Linked DNA regions of Saccharomyces cerevisiae S288C. Each later gene encodes a partner of the first gene's protein in a complex. Each region holds a gene or a part of one and is shown on either strand. Other genes may lie near its edges. The genes, in order: NPL4 and UFD1. A codon is read from its position in the direction of its gene.

What was found.
Region 2: the proteins of NPL4 (region 1) and UFD1 are in contact, whole or in part, in a cryo-EM structure (PDB 8DAR), measured with the Saccharomyces cerevisiae proteins. Residues at the interface, in NP_009729.1 of Saccharomyces cerevisiae: Gln258 (codon at 2,785), Glu292 (codon at 2,887), Gln293 (codon at 2,890), Asp294 (codon at 2,893), Gly295 (codon at 2,896), Leu296 (codon at 2,899), Thr297 (codon at 2,902), Met298 (codon at 2,905), Phe326 (codon at 2,989), Thr327 (codon at 2,992), Asp328 (codon at 2,995), Ser330 (codon at 3,001), Phe340 (codon at 3,031), Cys341 (codon at 3,034), Lys342 (codon at 3,037), Arg343 (codon at 3,040), His344 (codon at 3,043), Asp346 (codon at 3,049), Ser351 (codon at 3,064), Leu353 (codon at 3,070), Glu354 (codon at 3,073), Met357 (codon at 3,082), Arg360 (codon at 3,091), Ser415 (codon at 3,256), Gly416 (codon at 3,259), Ser417 (codon at 3,262), Thr418 (codon at 3,265), Phe419 (codon at 3,268), Pro420 (codon at 3,271), Tyr424 (codon at 3,283); in NP_011562.1 of Saccharomyces cerevisiae: Val232 (codon at 1,214), Leu233 (codon at 1,211), Gly236 (codon at 1,202), Ser237 (codon at 1,199), Met238 (codon at 1,196), Ser239 (codon at 1,193), Arg241 (codon at 1,187), Tyr244 (codon at 1,178), Ile247 (codon at 1,169), Ala248 (codon at 1,166), Phe285 (codon at 1,055), Asp286 (codon at 1,052), Gly287 (codon at 1,049), Glu288 (codon at 1,046), Pro289 (codon at 1,043), Ala290 (codon at 1,040), Lys291 (codon at 1,037), Leu292 (codon at 1,034), Asp293 (codon at 1,031), Leu294 (codon at 1,028), Glu296 (codon at 1,022), Gly297 (codon at 1,019), Gln298 (codon at 1,016), Leu299 (codon at 1,013), Phe300 (codon at 1,010), Phe301 (codon at 1,007), Gly302 (codon at 1,004), Phe303 (codon at 1,001), Met305 (codon at 995), Val306 (codon at 992).

The regions. Positions count from the first base shown.
Region 1 is NC_001134.8:575,844-580,099, reverse strand, and holds NPL4 (nuclear protein localization protein 4), read left to right. Parts: upstream 1-2,013; coding exon 2,014-3,756; downstream 3,757-4,256. Other genes in the region: SMY2 (Smy2p), read left to right, coding at 1-950; Sec63 complex subunit SEC66, read right to left, coding at 1,116-1,736; adenyl-nucleotide exchange factor SSE2, read left to right, coding at 4,104-4,256. UniProt on the Saccharomyces cerevisiae protein: Substrate-recruiting cofactor of the CDC48-NPL4-UFD1 segregase. Assists CDC48 in the dislocation of misfolded, polyubiquitinated ERAD substrates that are subsequently delivered to the proteasome for degradation.
Region 2 is NC_001139.9:588,129-591,732, reverse strand, and holds UFD1 (polyubiquitin-binding protein UFD1), read right to left. Parts: upstream 1,908-3,604; coding exon 822-1,907; downstream 1-821. Other genes in the region: SCM4 (Scm4p), read right to left, coding at 1-419; transcription factor TFIIIC subunit TFC4, read left to right, coding at 2,264-3,604. UniProt on the Saccharomyces cerevisiae protein: Functions at a post-ubiquitation step in the ubiquitin fusion degradation (UFD) pathway. Has a role in the endoplasmic reticulum-associated degradation (ERAD) pathway.

The DNA.
Region 1 (4,256 bases):
AAGCAGAAAAGCAAAAAAAATCAGAAAAGACAAAAAAGGACACACAAACACAAACAGAAGGCTTTAAGACATCAAAAGATTTGCCTTCATTAAATTCCTCAAGCGCGAATCCGGCACCATGGGCCTCAAAAGTCAAAGTTAACAATGCAATCGAAACTTCAATTAAAAATGGTGTAAGTAGCACTGGAAAGAAGAAAGGAGAACCCTTAGGTCTACAACAGAGGAACAGCAAAGAAGAAAAGCAAAAGGAGGAACTAAAATCCGTGCTTAACTGGGCTAACAAGTCCAGCCTACCATCGAATCAAACTATTGATATTAAATCTCAGTTTCAAAAAAGCCCAAAAGGGATGAAAGAGTCGTCTCCGTTAAAGGAGTTGGAAGATCCAAATTTCATAGAAGAGCAGAAAAAACTATGGGAAAAGGTTCAGAGTTCTTCCAAACAAGTAAAGTCCACATCCTCTGCATCTACTACCACATCTTCTTGGACTACGGTGACTTCTAAAGGGAAAGCACCTATAGGAACCGTTGTCTCCCCATATTCAAAAACCAATACCAGTTTAAATTCTTCATTAACGGCAAAAACTAGCACAACTTCTACTACCACTACCTTTGCTAGCATGAACAATGTTTCTCCCCGGCAAGAATTTATCAAATGGTGTAAATCACAGATGAAATTAAATTCTGGAATAACCAATAACAATGTCTTAGAACTATTATTGAGTTTACCTACGGGGCCAGAATCTAAAGAATTGATTCAAGAAACAATTTATGCCAATAGTGACGTTATGGATGGTAGAAGATTTGCCACTGAATTTATTAAAAGACGTGTTGCGTGCGAAAAACAAGGTGATGATCCACTAAGTTGGAATGAAGCGCTAGCTCTATCAGGCAATGATGACGACGGCTGGGAATTCCAAGTAGTGAGCAAGAAGAAGGGTAGAAAACACTGAAAGGAAAAGCTTCATAATTTTTTCTTTTCACTGCATATTTCTTTATCATTTATTGTTATTGTATATACTTTATAACTATTTTTTAACGCAGATAATGACAAATTCTATACATATTTTTAAAAAAACACTGAACGAGCGAATACATATCTTTGCACACAGTAGGCACTAATTGACTAATCTTCCATCATTATTTATTTTCAGCTCCCACTCTTTAATACACACTTCTTTCCGTTTCAAGATTGATTGATAACGTCTAGAGAGAGCTTGATTAAAGCAAATTTCTTTACAAACCATAACGAACAATTGAACCCAGCCCGGTTGCAATCTTTCAGCTTCTTGTAAAGTATCTTTAAATTCCAATTCAATTAATTTAACTTCAGTTTCAAATCTCTTCCAGTAATCCTCCCCAATAGAGCCATTTTTATATAGAAGGTTTATCTGAGGAGCCAACTCTTTTAACTTTAATGATCGTCTAACAGATTCTGCTCCTCTGTTCAATAAAGCGGCCTTCAACACCTTCTCGTGAATTTTTTCATTTTCACTCATTTCCTTTATTTGGAAATACAGATCATGGGCATCGTTTTCGTCAAATATGGATGGTTGCTCACTAATTTTTTTGGCCTGCTTCTTTCTGTAGCTTGAAGCAAACATCACAAGGGACACCACCAGAATAAAGACATATATGAGTGGGGTATAAACGGAGATTGATTTCGTCTCCACAATTGGCTCTTCCGTTTCAAAAAACGTCCCGTTGTTGGAGAATTTTGTTTCATTAAATTCGGACATATTGGCAAACTCAAGTAGTTGTGCGTACCTCTTTCCTGTACTTGAATTCGTTTAAATAAGCCATTTCATTAATATTTCATCAATTTTTTCACATATTATTTCAACTTTTAGACGTGTTCCTAAAACTTTTGACGTTTTTTGGCGGGTAATAAGATGCGTCTACCCATTTTAAGGAACGCCCTCGTAACATACAGAACGAAGAGTGGCAAATAATAGGACAGTACTCTGAAGAAAAATTTCCCTATACTACTGATATCGATATACATTTAAGTGAAGTATGCTTATCAGATTTAGATCAAAAAACGGTACACACAGGGTTTCTTGTCAAGAAAACGACCTTTTCGGAACGGTCATTGAAAAGTTGGTGGGTAATCTGGACCCCAATGCCGATGTCGACACATTTACTGTTTGTGAGAAGCCCGGTCAAGGTATTCATGCTGTTTCTGAACTAGCTGATCGAACAGTGATGGATCTAGGACTAAAGCACGGTGACATGCTGATCCTTAACTATTCGGACAAGCCCGCTAATGAGAAAGATGGTGTCAATGTTGAAATCGGATCCGTAGGTATTGACAGCAAGGGAATTCGTCAACACAGGTACGGTCCACTAAGGATCAAAGAACTCGCTGTAGATGAGGAACTAGAGAAAGAGGACGGATTAATTCCTCGTCAAAAATCAAAACTATGCAAGCACGGTGATAGAGGTATGTGTGAATACTGCTCGCCTTTACCTCCTTGGGACAAAGAATATCATGAGAAGAATAAGATCAAACATATATCGTTTCATTCATATCTTAAAAAGCTAAATGAAAATGCTAATAAGAAGGAGAACGGCAGCTCTTATATTTCCCCTCTTTCAGAACCTGATTTTAGAATCAATAAGCGTTGCCATAATGGCCATGAACCATGGCCTCGGGGGATATGTTCTAAATGTCAACCATCGGCAATTACATTACAACAGCAAGAATTTAGAATGGTTGACCACGTTGAATTTCAGAAGAGTGAAATAATTAATGAATTTATTCAGGCGTGGAGGTACACGGGTATGCAAAGATTTGGCTATATGTACGGATCTTATTCTAAGTATGATAACACACCTTTAGGTATAAAGGCCGTCGTTGAGGCGATATACGAGCCCCCTCAGCATGATGAGCAAGACGGTTTAACCATGGACGTAGAACAGGTCAAGAATGAAATGCTACAGATTGATAGACAGGCTCAAGAAATGGGGCTTTCGCGAATTGGCCTAATATTTACAGATTTATCTGACGCGGGAGCTGGGGATGGGTCTGTTTTTTGCAAAAGACATAAGGATTCGTTTTTTCTTTCATCATTAGAAGTTATTATGGCTGCTAGGCATCAAACAAGGCATCCTAATGTAAGCAAGTATAGCGAACAAGGTTTTTTTTCTTCCAAGTTTGTAACTTGCGTTATATCAGGTAATTTGGAAGGTGAAATTGATATTTCGAGCTACCAAGTATCCACAGAAGCTGAAGCATTGGTTACTGCAGATATGATAAGTGGGTCCACATTTCCTTCAATGGCATATATTAATGACACTACAGATGAAAGATATGTACCTGAGATATTTTACATGAAGTCGAATGAATATGGTATAACAGTGAAGGAAAATGCGAAGCCTGCATTTCCGGTAGACTATCTTTTAGTGACGCTGACTCATGGGTTCCCGAATACCGATACGGAAACCAACTCGAAATTCGTTAGTTCCACCGGATTTCCATGGAGCAATCGACAAGCTATGGGGCAATCTCAAGATTATCAAGAATTAAAAAAGTATTTATTCAATGTGGCTTCAAGTGGAGATTTCAATCTTTTGCATGAAAAAATCTCGAACTTTCATTTACTATTATACATAAATTCTCTGCAGATACTCTCTCCAGACGAATGGAAGTTACTAATAGAATCTGCTGTGAAAAATGAATGGGAAGAATCTCTACTAAAACTTGTCTCATCGGCTGGTTGGCAAACGTTAGTCATGATCCTTCAGGAAAGCGGCTAGGAGAGACTGTAAGATTTGAGGTTTTAGATTAAAAAAATAGAAATGCGCGGAAGGTAAAATTGAGCCTTTTTTATTTTAAAACTATGTAAATCATCCAAAATAGTAGACGTTTCTAGAACGTCCCCTTACCAAAAATCACATCATACGAGGAGTTTTAAGGAACAATAACTGGGAGTCGCTTTTACAAATTGGTATATATTAAGGTACTCTTGATATAAACCAAAGGACTTTGCCGTTTAGAGATTTTTATTTATGAAATCTTGTATATAGATTTTGGAAATATCCCTTAAAACTTCCTTTTTTTTTTTTTTTTACCTGTAACAGACGTAACCAAAGGATATAATATAATGAGCACTCCATTTGGCTTAGATTTAGGTAACAATAACTCAGTACTAGCAGTTGCCAGAAATAGGGGTATTGATGTCGTTGTCAATGAAGTTTCTAATAGGTCTACACCATCCTTGGTCGGCTTTGGCCCCAGAAATAGGTACTTAGGTGAA
Region 2 (3,604 bases), on another chromosome or scaffold:
GAGAATGGGCATGCAGCTTCCCCATCTTTGACTTCCGGGTGATGTTGGGGTAATTTTTCATCCTTTTGCTTTTCTAAATCATTTTGGTCACGTGTGCATTTTGGGGCTAGCTTGTGATTGAACAGTGATACTAAGTATAGGTAGGCTGCAGATAATGGGGCGACACCAAGTCCGCACAAAAGGTAGTTTGGTCTTTCTCCTGGTGCAGCTAGATAGTAGCTGAGTCCAAAGGCACCAGTAGCTAAACCACCTAAAACGGTGCTCCAGCATCCTAATGTGCACAAAACATTCTTCAAATGTTGAGTTAGAACATTTATTGGGGTGGTAATAGAAATCACGGTAGATGAAGTTAAAATACCGGCGTATAAACCTAATGATGAGACTGCGATACCTTTTACAATAGCTGGGGAGACTTGCATTTGTTTTTTAGTATATGTAAGGATTCTTATGAGTGTTTGTCTTAAACTTGCTTTTCGTGAGGTAAGGGTTAAAAAATCAGCTTGGATATAATTTGGAACAATAGAAACTTCTTTTCTCTCATTTATATACTGATCAACTCACAATTATATAACCTGGTTCTTTTTTTTTTTATTTTTCAACAACACAATAGATTCGAGTATGGGTAAACGAAGAGAATTACTTCGGCATTAAGCAAGGGAAATATCGCGCAACCGCGCACGTAATTATTTTTACTAAACGAACAGCAAATGCAGCAGAGCTAATGCGATGCATAAGATACTTGGATTCTAAGATCTGTTAACTTGAAAATGCTCTATATATCTGTCAAAGACACTATATTGTTGTATACTAGTATATATCTTTTAGTCAATTTCGATTACTTCCGGGCTTTTGGGAGCCTTGGACTTGGACGAATCATGGTCACTTTTCGTTTTTCTCTTATTGCTCTTCCTTAGTGAGATCCCTTGGCCTTGGAAATTTTGTTCACTGGATTTGCTACCAGCGGCACTTTCTTCGTCTTCTTTCGGTAGGACCATTGGGAAACCAAAGAATAATTGGCCTTCAGGCAGATCTAGCTTGGCGGGCTCGCCATCAAACGTTATCTTCATATCTTTTATATCTTGCTTGGGCTCCGCTTTCGGAGCTTTACCAGATATGTTTTGTCCCTGACCTACAAATTTAGATAGTTTGTTTCTGCTACTGTTAGCGATACCCGCATAGTCGATTCTTGTGGACATCGATCCCTGGCCAAGCACCGAGGGATCCAAAACTTGGCCCTTACCAAAAGAATTCTTTTTTTCTTTATCTTGCTGAGCTTTCAGCGCTTTGTAATCCGGTTCCACATATCCTACAGGTGGAGCAAAATCTGTTACTAAATCTGTTTCAATGACACATATACTCTTCGATGATGATTCTGGTTTGACTTCTAAGATCTTAATTTTGAAAGTTTTACCATTGTAACTAATCTCAATAACATCGTCCACGGTCAAAGTCGAGAAATTCCTCAGTACGTTTTCCAAAACTGCTTTGGGGTCGGAAATATCCAAGAAATCTACAGACTGAGGTTCTAACTTCACAAACTGGCCCAGAGGTACATCAGTAGATGAAATTTGCAGTAGAGATCCTGGCTGTATACCCAAAGTTTCCATCATCCATTGTGGTAAGTAAACTCTGCCCTCTTCAGCAATAAATTCTAAAACACCTCCATGTGTCACACGTCCAGTTTCATTGGCAGTTAGTTTAAAAAGCATGGGGTATCTTATGTTCAACATGGATAGTTTGCTTAGAGCACTTGGTGGCAGGAATATTTTCCCGCCGAAGTTTGCGTCATCCTTCCGTATTCTATCATTCATCATAGCTATAGGGTAGCATCTAAAGAACTCCTCAAACGTTTGAGGCATATTTACAAAACCATTTCCGCCGCCAAAAGAACTAAAGCCAGAAAACATTTTTATTATATTTTACAGTATCACTTTGATATTTTTTCCTCCCTTGCTATGGTATGTGTTACTATCTATTGAAAACTACATCATTATCTCTTCCCTATTCACATAGACCAGCCAGGATTACTTTTAACTACCTTTATTTTTCGCCACCTAACCCAAAAAAGGAATTCTTCTCTTTCGTAGAACGCAAGTTTGACTTTTTCGTCGTAAAGGCGAGTTTCCCAAAGTGGACACTTTTTTTTTTTAAGGCGCTTCGGCTAGAAATAGAAGAACGATAATAATGGCAGCGCACTGTGTATAATAACACCAGTCAACAATGAATCTGAAGCTAGAGAAAGAAACCCTCAAGTGTATCTGTGATGGCAGCAGGAAAATTGAAAAAGGAACAGCAAAATCAATCAGCTGAACGAGAAAGCGCTGATACGGGTAAAGTTAACGATGAGGATGAAGAGCATCTATACGGAAATATTGATGACTATAAGCATTTGATTCAAGATGAGGAATATGATGACGAGGATGTACCTCATGATCTACAATTAAGCGAAGATGAATATAATTCCGAACGAGACAGTTCTTTGTTGGCAGAATTCTCGGACTACGGTGAAATATCTGAAGACGATGAGGAAGATTTCATGAACGCGATTAGGGAAGCAAGTAACTTTAAGGTAAAAAAGAAGAAGAAAAATGACAAAGGTAAATCTTACGGCCGCCAAAGAAAAGAAAGAGTGCTTGATCCAGAGGTAGCGCAATTACTTTCTCAAGCCAATGAAGCTTTTGTCAGGAATGATTTACAAGTGGCCGAAAGATTATTTAATGAGGTAATTAAAAAAGATGCACGTAATTTTGCTGCTTACGAGACCCTAGGAGATATATATCAATTGCAAGGAAGGCTTAATGATTGTTGTAACTCTTGGTTCCTGGCAGCTCACCTAAATGCTTCCGATTGGGAATTCTGGAAGATAGTCGCTATACTGTCCGCCGATTTAGATCATGTTAGGCAGGCCATCTACTGCTTTTCCAGGGTAATAAGTTTGAATCCTATGGAATGGGAATCAATTTATCGCCGGTCTATGTTGTACAAGAAGACAGGACAGTTAGCAAGAGCTTTAGATGGATTTCAAAGGCTTTACATGTACAATCCTTATGATGCAAACATATTGAGGGAGTTGGCCATTCTTTATGTTGATTATGATCGGATTGAAGATTCAATTGAGCTCTATATGAAAGTGTTTAATGCTAATGTTGAGAGAAGGGAAGCGATATTAGCTGCTTTAGAAAATGCCTTAGATTCTTCAGACGAAGAAAGCGCCGCAGAAGGGGAGGATGCAGACGAAAAGGAACCCCTTGAACAAGATGAAGATAGGCAGATGTTTCCTGACATCAACTGGAAAAAAATTGATGCAAAATATAAATGCATACCATTTGACTGGTCTTCTTTGAACATTCTCGCGGAACTTTTCTTAAAACTCGCAGTTAGTGAGGTCGATGGTATAAAGACAATTAAAAAATGTGCACGGTGGATTCAACGCCGCGAAAGCCAGACATTTTGGGATCATGTTCCAGATGATTCAGAATTTGACAATAGAAGGTTTAAAAACAGTACCTTTGATTCACTACTTGCCGCAGAAAAGGAAAAATCGTATAACATTCCAATCGATATTAGAGTTAGATTGGGATTGTTAAGATTGAACACAGATAAC